Oryzias latipes: one gene and its partners. The protein of the gene in region 1 purifies or fractionates together with the protein of each later gene. This does not show direct contact. Links are inferred from orthologs where the notes say so. Each region holds a gene or a part of one and is shown on either strand. Other genes may lie near its edges.

Region 1 (4,256 bases):
CGGTGAAATGTTTAGAATTTGATTACAGCTCCCACCTGTGGACATTTTCAGCAATAACATCACTTAAAAGAAATTTTGGGAAAATAGTTTCTAAATGTTTCTTCATAAACTACTGAAATAAAAAAATAGTAATGTAATAATAAAAACAGACGTATTAGATAACATGGCATGTTTGTGCCATGTCTTGAAGTTTTATAATAGCATCATGATTTATTTTCTTCTCTTTTTTGAAGACAGTAAGTCCATCTTTTTATGACTCCACCTTAAGACAACCTCACCAGATGAACAAGAATCTTCAACAACTAATTGCTGCTTTTAAAGTACAGTATTTTGTGAAGCTTTGTACAATAACTATTATAGTAGAACTTTCTAATATTTAGAACAATGAATTGAATAATATTGTGTTTTTAATACATATTTATTAAGCAGGATGACACCTAAAAAGGAAGCCAAAACCTTTGAAAAAAGATACTTTACCAGTCATTCTCACAGAAAGCAGAGATGAAATCGCTCTGCTGATGCTCAGGGTAGAGGAAGAGAACAGGCCAGTGCAACAAGCCCTTCTCATCCTGGAAGACCTGAGCCCCAGTGACTTCCTGAGAACTGAGGCCGTCCAACCTCAGCTGCTCCATGGCTGCTGAAGATTCATCCTCACTTTCTGAACCTTTCAGGTGAGGCTTCTTAGACTGGAGAAGCTTTATGCCTCGGTTCTTTGGAAGGAAAAAACTCTTACTTTAATATTGATGAAATAGGACTTACGATAAAGAATTGTTGAAATAATATGCTTGCATTTACCTGTATAGCTGTCAGCAGAGCCTCTTTTTCACCATGCAACTTCTTTTGTTTAACTTTAGCCTTCCTGGCGTCCCGCTCCGCTGCTCTCTAAGAAACGAAAAATGGAGACCTTTGATTCAACCTCCTCTTAAAAGCATCTTTCTGAGTTCATGACCTACTTTGTGTTTATCTGCTGTAGCTCTCAGCTCTCTGAGCTTCTCATCGGTGGTATGTTCCTTTAGCCCCTCGTCACACCACTGGAGAGCCTCTGAAAAGTTGCGCAGCTCAATGCAGCACTGAGCACCTATAGACCCCAAATCACACATTCTGTGTCAGCACTTGGTAGAACAGTTGGATATTTTTTTTTTTGGTACTAGTTACACATTAAGTGCTAATAACCTCTGATCAAGGCTTTAAGGTGGCCCGGCTTGATTTTTTTTGCAGCTGCAGCATCATTCAGTGCAGAGCGCATGTTCCCTGCATGGCACAAAATAAACATTTTAACATCATACATTTGTTATCCATTAAAAATCAGGAATTAATTCAATTTATCTCAAACAGTAAATCAATTTGTACCCAGGTGGAAGTGTGAAGCTGCCCGGTTAGTGAGGAGAACAGCATTGAGTTCCTGGTCCCCACATTTCTTCTTTAAAGCTCCAGTGTAAGAAATAATGGCCTTCTTGTAGTTCTTCTCCTTGAAAAACGCATTTCCTTCATCTTTCAGACTCTTTGCTTGTTCTACAAATTAGATAAGAAAAAGAAGAAAAAATAATAAAAAAATTAAATTAAATCAGACCCCATCATTTTCATGATAATTATTAAATTGACAGTAGATTAGTCATTATGTCGAGGACTGGCTCACCCTCTGGAGATCGGTCATCATCGTGGATTATTGACTGGAGACAAGCCAGTTCAGGGTAATTCTTAGGGTCTATTTCTTCAGGAGCTGTTTTCATGAACATTGGGATTTTATTAAACTCCTGAAAATTAAATACATCAGCAAGTTAGCCTCATCACCTGAAACGGCGTCAGTTTAATTGTCAAAGACCAAGTTCCAATTGCTGATTTACCTGCTCCCAGTTTTTTTCACTGAAGGCGTTTTTATATCTCTGCGTCTTGAATTTGTCCATGAACTCGTCCATGCCATCGTCACTGTCGCCATGAGTCTCTGCCGCCATTTTTGTTAAAAATATGTATACTCCAACAAAATGTTACAATTACGAATCGTCAATACGCCGATTATTTGAGGTGAAACAAGACCAGAGGCCGTCCAGTGTAAAATGTTCTTTAGACCTCTTGTTTACACATGTTCCCAACCGTACTGCAGAATGAAAGGTCCGTGCGGAATCACATGACGCATGTCTTTGGTTCCACCTCCAGATAAGCTCGCTTTTAAAATGTTCTTTATTCACAATCTTGTTTAGGCAGAGAACTAACTAATGTTAGTTGGGATTTGCGAATTTAAAAAGGAAAGTATTACAGTGAGATATTATTTTCTGATGTAACAAAGTAAAATTGTTGTAATTACCACTCAAATTCAAAATGATATTCTCTTATGCAGAAAAATCTATTTAAATAGGTTAAAAAAGAAAAATAGAAGAAATAAAATACATCCCCTATAAATAAATAAAAATAAAAGATAATCAGAATTACATTGCACCAAATTAGATAAGCTTGTTTGTCTTATGATGAAGTTTTGCTCCAACATGACCAATTTATTTCTGTACTTACCTATGTTTGTCACTTTTCCTCCTTTAATTTCCCCAAAAATGATGGTTTAACTCTTCCTTTTGTTTCCATGTATCAAAATGCACAAATTCCCAAAAGCCCCATCCGTTTTTCTTGCTAACTGCATTTAAGGTCTTTTTTTCTAAATTATGCAACGTGAAAAGAGGAGGGGCGGGTTTTAAATAAACAAAAACAAAGAAATATTACTAAGTTATATTTGGTGAGACAGTTAAGTCTCTGTTGTTTACATTTTTCGTGACCACAGATGCCGTTGTAGGTACCGGATGTTCTCGGGTTGCCGTATGTTCTCGGGGTCCTTCAGGGTCCTTCCAATGAGTTATATCACTAGAGGAGATATCACGTAGTTCCTCATGGGAGGAGAGCACCGCCATCTTGGTGAGGTCAAGTTTTGAAGACCAAACCACTTTTATAACATTTAATAAAGAGCTCTGTTTTTGCTTTCAATCACTTCATTATATGAAAAAGAAGAATGGCTTGAAATTGCTTAGTTTTGTTCAGAAATAAAAACTTCACGAGTACCCCTAACTTAACTAGTATTAGACTACTTAGATTTTTTCTATGTTCCTTTATTTTATTTTACTTATGTTTTTATTTATTTGTGTGTTATGTTCATTGTTTCTTTTTTTCCCCTCTATTCTTTATTTTCTATGTCAATATGTTATATTTGGCAATGGTGACTGATCTTCGAGGCAATATTGATTACATCTTTATTGTTCGTTGTTAACGTTTATGTCATTGTTAATGTATGATACCGCAATTGTCAATAAAGTTTTTAAAAAAACTTAGCGACGTTAACTCATTGGTCGTGGCAACTTACAGCCAATCAAATAGTGTGACGTCATCATTGGTCGAAGGACCCCGAAGGACCCAGAGAACATCCGGCAACCCGAGAACATCCGGTACCCACACCGTTATGTCCATTCCCCAATCTGGCACTGTCAGGTATCCACAGGTGTAACCAATCAGTTGCCTGATTACATTCGCACGAGGCTCTAATAAATATGTGCAAAAACGTTCTATAGTCAGCGATGAGTCCAGATTCTGCTATAGCTCAAAAGTTTTTCTTTGAGTTGAAATGCCCTTTACCAGAAAAATAAAAATGTTTATCTAACAAAACCCCATAACTTAAGGACTCACTCCAATGAACACTCCAAAGAATTTTTTTATTATTATTATTTTTTATTTTTCTGTTTCTATAATGTTCCTGTAGCACTTTCTCACGTAGGACCAATGAGTTATATCGCTAGAGGAGACATCACGTGATTCCTCATGGGAGGGGAGCACCGCCATCTTGGTGAGGTCAAGTTACTGCTGCAGTGCATGCATGTGAACTCATTTTTTGCTAAATGCCAGTTCATTGTGCAAGTTTCAACTGCCAAAATCAGAGTCCACAAAGGACGAAGGCAGAACATTTCACAGGTAAGAACTATAATTTTTTCTTTTACTGCTGGAGGGGCTTTATTAATAGAACACACGTTGGCATGCATGATGCTGCAGGGCTATTATCAACATGCTACATGAAGTACGTATAATTGCTGTTGACATAAATGTAAACTTTATTTAGTTAAACTTATAAACAGTATACTAGGACTAGGCTAATATAGTTATATAGATTTATACATTTCTGACTCAGTGACTGAACTTTTGTTGCAGGTTTCCAATGGATTCAGGCATAATCGACACGTCATCAACACGTCGTCGACGTAAGGAGGAAGGTACCTGCTTTTATTGTG
Region 2 (4,093 bases), on another chromosome or scaffold:
TGAATCGTTTGGACTTTCTCTGGTGCCGGTGCCAAACCAGTACTTTTACAATGGTTCTGGTCCCAAAACAAGGCTTGAACAGATGCTTTAAAAATGAAAAACACAGCAAAGGCACTGCCGATAATCATGACTAACCACATAACCCAACGTTTCATCCAAATAAGAAACAAAGGAAGGAAAAGGATGGAGACCTGTGGCACCAGGACATGACGTGGGACAGAGAAAGGACTTCAGCTTTCATTTTCCTGTCCTTGTCTGGTGAAACGCTGCAAGATTAGAAGTGTTGCTGGGTAACAGCCGCCACTCGCCTTGAATACCGTCTTGCAGGTCCTCTCGTGACGTGTCAGGTTAGACAGGATGGTGCAGATCTGATCAGAGAACAGGTAATCTGGATCCAGAAGCTTCTTCAATAGAACCGGAAGAACTTTACCGTCTGACACTAAAACCTGGGTGAGACACGAGACACTTCACAACAGGGTCCAAAACATTAGCCAGCTGGAACTTTTATTCCAGGTCTGACCTGATGCAGAGTCTCATCAGCTGACAGGTTGATGATGATGTGGTAGCAGTCCTTCGCTATAGCAACAGAGATGTCAGAGGTCAGCGCAAAGAGGGCGCTGACCAAGTCCGGTTTGGACCGTAGGAAACAGCACCCTTCCCTGAAGGCAGATAGAAATGTTGCATGGAACACAGCATTGAATGGAAATGGAACCTGACTTCAGAGAAAAAGAAAGCTACATTTAACAGACGTTTTTACCCCGAACATGGATTCACTGTCTCAGGTGTTCCCACACACCAAGCCAGCTCTGCTGTGTAAATATTGTTTGCCCTTAAAATGATTCATGGCCAAAAGAGGCTGGGGGCCTCATTCCAACTGAGAGCCTGTGGAGGGAGTTGACAGTATGATTCCCAATAACAGCCCCAACACATTACAGCCCTTGGGGACCAAAGGAGCAGCAGACTCTTCAAACCTGGTGAATACCTTAAGGAAACCTTTGACCTCAGTCACTGATAACAGAAGTACAGTACAAGTATTGAGGTGAACCTTTATTTATGACAAATCCATATTTTCTGCTGCATTGTATTCTTTAAAAATCAAACAATGTGATGTCCTGGATTCTTTTCTCACATTCTGTCTCATAATTGTATCTATGATAAAGATTACAGACCAAAGTCATTTTTTAAGTGGAACAACTAGCAGAATCCCAGACTGACAATACTTTTTGCACCATTAAGGGTGACAACTGTAGATCAACTCAGTTTTTGCTCAGCTTCTCTTTTAGAAAAAGATGTCTTTATTGCTGTAAAGAGAAACAAATGGAAGAGCTGCCATTAGGCCTGCACAGTGTAAAAATCAATGAAAATTGTGATAAATGATCATCTTAAATGTCCTCAAACTATCTTATGGCAGCTTGAAGTGTTTAACGAACCAAATAAATCCCTTTATGCATTTGACCAATCAGATGGACTCCTTTACATCGTCGACCAATCAGAAGGACCCCTTATATGTTAGATGTTTGCCTCCTATGTAGACAGTGGAGTGTAATTTGGGTTAATAAGTTGACTTATTTGAATTCAACTGTTGCAGAGAAATGGAAATGATGTATTTAGTTGTTCTGCTATTTGCTAATTTATCGCAGGTTATATCGTCATCACAATATTGAACACTAATATTGCAAATTGCAAGTTTTCCTCATTTAGTGCAGCTCTAGCTGACATCTACCCTCCTCTAACCATCTGCCCTGAAGCTCCAAATAAAACAAAAACATGTGACTCTGCAGCAAAAACATAGAGCTCACTATGATGCTCTTCCCAGATTTGCAGGCTTTGTGCAGATGCATCAACCCATACGTTCATCACCTGCTGGCAAACTGGTCACTGCAAAGCTCTCTAGCTGGCTTTATCTGTATGAAAAGGACTCGACAAAAGCTAATGGCTTCATTCCAGAAAAGCTCTAAGGGTTTGAAGACACATGAAATCATTCATGAATGTGTTCTTTGGACCTTAAGCAGCAGGTGGGAACACTGACACCACCATAGTCTTCATCACCTGCTGGCAGACAGTCCCAGGATGTACTCGGTGGCCTTGGCCTTCACATCGGGGCGGGTACCAAGGGTCAGGAAGGACAGCAGCTCTGCAGCTTCACCATCACTCAGCATCTTCTCCAAACCACAAAAACGGGATGCTGATGATGAGACCAATGCAAAACGTTCATAACCAGCACAGCTTTCCTCACATTCACTACTCTGGTGACGACGCTGGAGTTGGCTTCCTATTCACAGCTTTCGATTCGTGAGGAAAGAGTATTCCCCTGCATTTCAAACTAAGACCACTGACCTAGGAGGACCGACCGTGTCCTGTTCAAAAACCACAGGACCAGGGCTGCTCAAGCCTGGATAAATGATTAAAGTATCATTTAGATAGTAAAGAATACATGAAACACTTTCTGATTTGTGAAACCTTCATCTGATTTTTGAAAATGTGAAATATGATGAATTCGGGGGGCGGGGCTTCAGTAATGTGGCTCTCCGCGCGCTCTGTCTACAAGTTCTCAAACTGTGTTTCATCTAATAGAAGAAGAAAAAAACTACGGCGTCACGTGTGTGGTTGAAAGGTAAGAATAAAAAAAATAAAAAAGGAATCCAGCGATCAAGACTAAAATTTCGATCATCGATGAACATGCAGGTGAAGCGCACTACCTTAACGACAGCAGCTCTGTGACACACCGCGCGGCGCTGATCCCCACTTCCGGGTTTCTTCTTCTGATGGAGCCTGACGTCCTCCAGCGCGTTTACCGCCCTCTCGTGGCCACTGCATGAAACACATTCATGTTGTCCGGGCGGGGGCCTTTTAATATGGAAGCGATTATGTAGCATAAATAAAAAGCAAAGTCAAAACCAGAAATGCTTTTACATTTTCAAAATGAAAAAGCATTTTTTGACTCAAAAATATAATGAAAAAGCAATCCACCAAAATGCTTTTTCATTTCCTTCCTCCACACAGCTTATTCTGTCACTTAATTAAAATTAAAATGAAAATGGTATTTGACATTTCATTTTCAAGACGTTCCATGGTAAATGTGTAGCATAATTCATTTAGAAATGTCTAATTTGACAATTAAAATGGATTAACAGAAATGCTTTTTAATTTTCAAAATGTAGCTGCATTTTTTGACTCAAAATTAAAAAGAAAAAGCAATACTTCAAAATGCTTTATCATTTTATACCTAAAACCGCTTATTCTGTGTCATAATTAAAACGAAAATGCAAAGAGGGGATTGCATTTGCATTTTAACATCCACCCCGCGCACCTTGTCACAATATTCATTTCTTAAAAGCATTAGCAGAGGGGAGGCGGGGCGATGACGTCACTGCTTTCTCTGTGTGTCCGGCTGCTGACTGACGCACACCCACGCACCAGTTCTGGACACCACTGGAAACACAAATCCATATGATGGTTTCTCAGATCGTAGCAGTATTTCCGCCTTCAGCGATCATCGGAGCTTCGCGCTCCGCTATGCGAAGGCAGCTGGCGGTCCGAAGAACAAAAGCTTGTCCGCGGTGCATCAGGAGGAGGACCGCAGAAGGCGGACATGCTGCTATGTAGTCCTGAGAAGCTGTGGAAACTCATCAGAAGTTCACAACCATCACAAAACCCTCGTCTCTGCCGCTAACACAGTCTGCTCCTGGTGTGTGTGTGCGTCAGTCAGCAGCCGGACACACGGAGAAAGCAGTGACGTCATCGCCCCGCCTCCCCTCTGCTAATGCTTTTAAGAAATGAATATTGTGACAAGGTGCGCGGGGTGGATGTTAAAATGCAAATGCAATCCCCTCTTTGCATTTTCGTTTTAATTATGACACAGAATAAGCGGTTTTAGGTATAAAATGATAAAGCATTTTGAAGTATTGCTTTTTCTTTTTAATTTTGAGTCAAAAAATGCAGCTACATTTTGAAAATTAAAAAGCATTTCTGTTAATCCATTTTAATTGTCAAATTAGACATTTCTAAATGAATTATGCTACACATTTACCATGGAACGTCTTGAAAATGAAATGTCAAATACCATTTTCATTTTAATTTTAATTAAGTGACA
Region 3 (4,035 bases), on another chromosome or scaffold:
GTCCACATGATGTTTCGCACAAAGTCATTCCTTAAACCCTGCAAAGAATGCAAGTCGTCAAAACTTGTACAGAAAGAATTTAACAGTAATCAATATCACAATCTTTGTTTAATTTTTCAACAATCTTCCCCCCATTTTTCCATAAAACACAGTCTTGTACTTTTTTCCAATCAATTCATTTGATAAAAATACGCGAACAATACATCAAATCCAGTATGAAAAGTGTTTAAACATAAGTATATCAGATAGTGCTGATCTTTATAAAATTCAAAGCTTAAATAAACAAAAAACCTCACAAATGTGTTTTCACCTCATATCCTTTGCAACCCTCAGTGGTGCTTCTTATATCTCTTCACTCTTAGGTGACGCTGTGTTGTTCTATTATTATACTCTTCATAGTATTTTATATGCACCTAGTCATAATGATAAGGAATACTGCCACCTTGTGGCCGGAGTAGTCATTTAATATCCTGAGTCGATCAAAGCTAAATGAATGCAAATAACGGTTAAATATTTCTTAAACTTTCCTTTTTATTTCGAAATTATAAACACATTGAATAATCTTTGAAAATAAAAACAATATCCAGCTCTTGTTTGTGGTGAAATTCCAGACATTTGAATAGAACTTTGTTACCTGGCTGTTCTCGCCTTCATTGAAGAGAGCAGGGAGGTTTTGCTCTTTTAATACTGATGTCACCTGGCCCAGAGCAAATTTACTGTCCGCAGAAACACCTTCCTGAGTATCAAAAGGCATCAGTGTGTTCATTATATTTTTGGGCATTATGTAATTGAACTGAAAACAAACTAAAAAAAAAAAAAAAAAAAATTCTTGCCCGCCACAAAAATTCTCACTGTCTGAAAACAGCTTTTTGACCCGACCATACTTATTGAGCTCACTAGTAAAGCTACCTGTTCAGGAATTTCTGATTCTTGAGCATCTGATGGGCTGGTAAAGGTTGCAGGCCACGAGGAGCTGCACTCTTCAGCATTTTTGTCATCATCCCCCTCATTCATGTTGTCTAACACAGGCTCTGCAGCCCCATCACCATTTATGCTGCAGAAACAAAGAAAAACATGTGATTTTTGGACAGATTATGTAACAAGAAACACGCCCTTAAGTAGAACATTGCACCAAATTATATCTAACACTATCCTAAACAAAAACTTACCTGTAGTAGAGAAACTTTGACAGGATGGCTTTCTGATACCAGTGCTCTTTACTCTTTTTCTTCCGCTGCCATTTCTGATCATTTAGACGCTGGTAAAAATCTTTAAGCCATGTCCAGTCTCCTGTCTAAACATTGCATTAAAAAAAAACACATTACTGTCAAAAATAAAATATAAATGGAAGAATGTAGAAAAGGGATCCACCCTCAAATCTACCTGAGAGGATCTTCTAAAAAGCTCCTGAATGTCCAGCTCGTCTACAAGCAACGTCCTTCCAACCCGGTGAACAGCCATGCTAACGTGGGACTTGCTGTAAGGAATCTTCAAGAGTTTCTTGATGTTCTGAGGATGATAGAGCCCATCATTAAAGTCTGCCATGTCTTCAAATGTCAGAGAGGTAAAAAAAAGGAAAACTCTCCACAAACCTCAGAGTCTGATACCACATCAACACCATTCCCAATACAATCAATGAAGTCATAGGCAATTCCAAAACTAAAATGAAAACAAAGAAATGTGATACATCAATATGTGTTTAAATTGGTTAATTGTTATTAAAAAGAAAAAAAAAGAAATAGATTTTCAGGTTCAAACAAATACATAAAACGTTTTAAAATGTAATTTGGACCTCCCAATGTACTCTAAATCCAAAAATCTTAAGGTCATATGTCATCATTCAGGGACTGGATCTTTAAGAAATAGATGAGGAACCTGGAAAAGGGCTTGCTTTTGCTGCTTGACCCTAAAACAGCGCTGCCAAGCTGGGGGTTTTCCCTCAGCCAGTTGGCAGGTGGCAGCTTCAGGTCCGTCTTCTCCTCAGGGAGGGCATAAGTGCTGGGGGGGGCAGCAGAGTACTTGACCACAGCACTACTCTTCACTTCTCCATTTCCCAAATACATAGTGGGATCCTGGTGAAGCAGGAGACAAAAACATTCATGTTCTAATTAAACAGGAGAGGCAGACATTTGAAGTACAAATCTTAGTTTATTTTTCCTATGACTATGTAATAAGGTCTAATAACTGCATAAATAAGCCTAATAGAAACAAGGATTGCTTGTTAGTGTATAAACAAGACATAAAAACACAACATATTAATATAAACAATTATATAGCTCATTCTTTTATGTTGCTTACCCGTTTGCTGCAATCCTCTGAGCAGGCAGGACTTCCAATGTCTTTATCATTATCCAGGAGGATCCCAGGATTTCTGTCATCGCCAGCTGTTGAGCTCATTTTTTTTTCTACAACACTTTATTATTCCCGCTTAAATTAGCGAAATAATTCGTCGAACAGCTACATTATTATATGTAATTGGTGTTAAGATAATGACGTATCGTTCTTCCGACTCGATGATCTGCCTCCTGACCTGTCGCACGAATCTGTAGTAACAGAAAGTCAGGGTTCTTTCTAGATAGTTCCAGAGCTTGCGAGGCTAAAATAAACCGCACTACTAGCAAAGGTAGAAAAACGATTCAGCTCAAATCACATCAACTAAAACACATGGTTAGTTTTATATCCTCCACATTAATAATAATTTATACTTTCAAACTTCTCCCACTATTTTCGCTCAACAGAACCCCAACTTACACTGTTTTGCCTCTCTTCTGTATCCAACTCGCTTCTTAGCAGTCAACAAACAACGACTTCCGGTTGGAGGAATGCCAAATGCAACATTGATTGTATTTTTACGTTTTGAAGTGGAACATGTTTTGAATTTTTTTTAAGTAAGTTCACAAAAATATTTTAGAACGTAAAATGATGCATTTAAAAATAAATTCTGTTAAAAATCTAAAATACAAAAATCTTGAACCGGAAGTATTTGCAGTCTATGTTGGTCGATTATCTTTTAATGATTATACCCCATGTAATTGTTGCGTGGTCATCATTATTATTTTTATTATTATTATTATTATTATTATTATTATTATTATTATTTTGGCATTTACACTGTTATGATAAATTACAAACATTTTAAAATAAATTTTGTATTCGTATAAAACATTTAAAAAACTTACAAATGCCTAAATATATGATTTTGTAATGTATTTTGGAATACTTTATTCCAAAATTACGGAAGCTCTGAGCTGCCACTGCGAAAAATATTTTTTGGAACAGCTTCTCGTAATAACGAGAAAGTATCTCGTTATAACGACATACTTTCTCGTAATAACGACATAGTTGTTTACAGTAAAACGTCATCTTCTCGCGGGACATTTCATTCTCGTCTTGATGACCTGTGGGAAAAGATGGAGAATCAGCGGGAGCCTCTTTATTCCTTTTTAAGGGATAGAAATGTGTCAGAGGACAGAATTTCCACCATGAGGAATGACAAAGTAAGTTATACTTATGAAAAACATAGTTTACGTGAGTTTCATATCGATTTAATTTATTTTTTTGTTACTGAATGAGCCTGCCGTGTACTGCGTAGACGTGAGACCAACTAAGACCTCGTTAACTTAAGTATTGTAGTAGCTGCAAGGAAGCTCCTTAGGCGGGCGGTTGTCAAACAGCTCTTTATTAATGTTTCTGTATCTCAGAACGGTTACAGCACGAACCAACAGGCACAGCGAGCTTCTTCTAACTCCAGCGACAACGTTCACCGAACGCACACGCACACACACCCACAGGTAGACCCCGCCCCCTCTCTCCCACCAGTCATCAGCCCACCGCTGATTGACACACACTGTGGTCTAGCATCTTGCAGAAAGAGGGGGGCGCCGGCCACCTGCAGCTCTGTCCAAACTCTGGGTCGTCACAGTATGTAATGTTTTAGAGTTGCAGGGTATAACTCTCTTCAGTATGAACGTGCTGTGTTAACGTCTTTTATTAACATAACTGGTAGCAATCGCTTTTAACAGAAGGCTTCGTGCT

The links. The genes of interacting proteins can lie anywhere in the genome.
Region 2: the proteins of ttc4 (region 1) and hgh1 purify together in Homo sapiens (co-immunoprecipitation; 4 studies listed by BioGRID and IntAct, counting the BioPlex papers as one, with this or other methods). This does not show direct contact. The link is inferred for Oryzias latipes from reciprocal best matches to the Homo sapiens genes TTC4 and HGH1.
Region 3: the proteins of ttc4 (region 1) and edrf1 purify together in Homo sapiens (affinity purification with mass spectrometry; 3 studies listed by BioGRID and IntAct, counting the BioPlex papers as one, with this or other methods). This does not show direct contact. The link is inferred for Oryzias latipes from reciprocal best matches to the Homo sapiens genes TTC4 and EDRF1.

The regions. Positions count from the first base shown.
Region 1 is NC_019862.2:15,622,856-15,627,111, reverse strand, and holds the start of ttc4 (tetratricopeptide repeat protein 4), read right to left. Parts: upstream 2,801-4,256; 5' UTR 2,506-2,800; intron 2,391-2,505; 5' UTR 1,953-2,390; coding exon 1,845-1,952; intron 1,755-1,844; coding exon 1,637-1,754; intron 1,513-1,636; coding exon 1,351-1,512; intron 1,252-1,350; coding exon 1,174-1,251; intron 1,079-1,173; coding exon 954-1,078; intron 883-953; coding exon 796-882; intron 711-795; coding exon 478-710; intron 1-477.
Region 2 is NC_019863.2:850,291-854,383, reverse strand, and holds the start of hgh1 (protein HGH1 homolog), read right to left. Parts: upstream 2,801-4,093; 5' UTR 2,700-2,800; intron 2,186-2,699; 5' UTR 2,160-2,185; coding exon 2,050-2,159; intron 660-2,049; coding exon 521-659; intron 447-520; coding exon 309-446; intron 1-308.
Region 3 is NC_019873.2:19,101,032-19,105,066, reverse strand, and holds the start of edrf1 (erythroid differentiation-related factor 1), read right to left. Parts: upstream 2,801-4,035; 5' UTR 2,398-2,800; coding exon 2,299-2,397; intron 2,073-2,298; coding exon 1,876-2,072; intron 1,660-1,875; coding exon 1,593-1,659; intron 1,510-1,592; coding exon 1,384-1,509; intron 1,295-1,383; coding exon 1,170-1,294; intron 1,055-1,169; coding exon 910-1,054; intron 737-909; coding exon 635-736; intron 39-634; coding exon 1-38. UniProt on the Homo sapiens protein: Transcription factor involved in erythroid differentiation. Involved in transcriptional activation of the globin gene.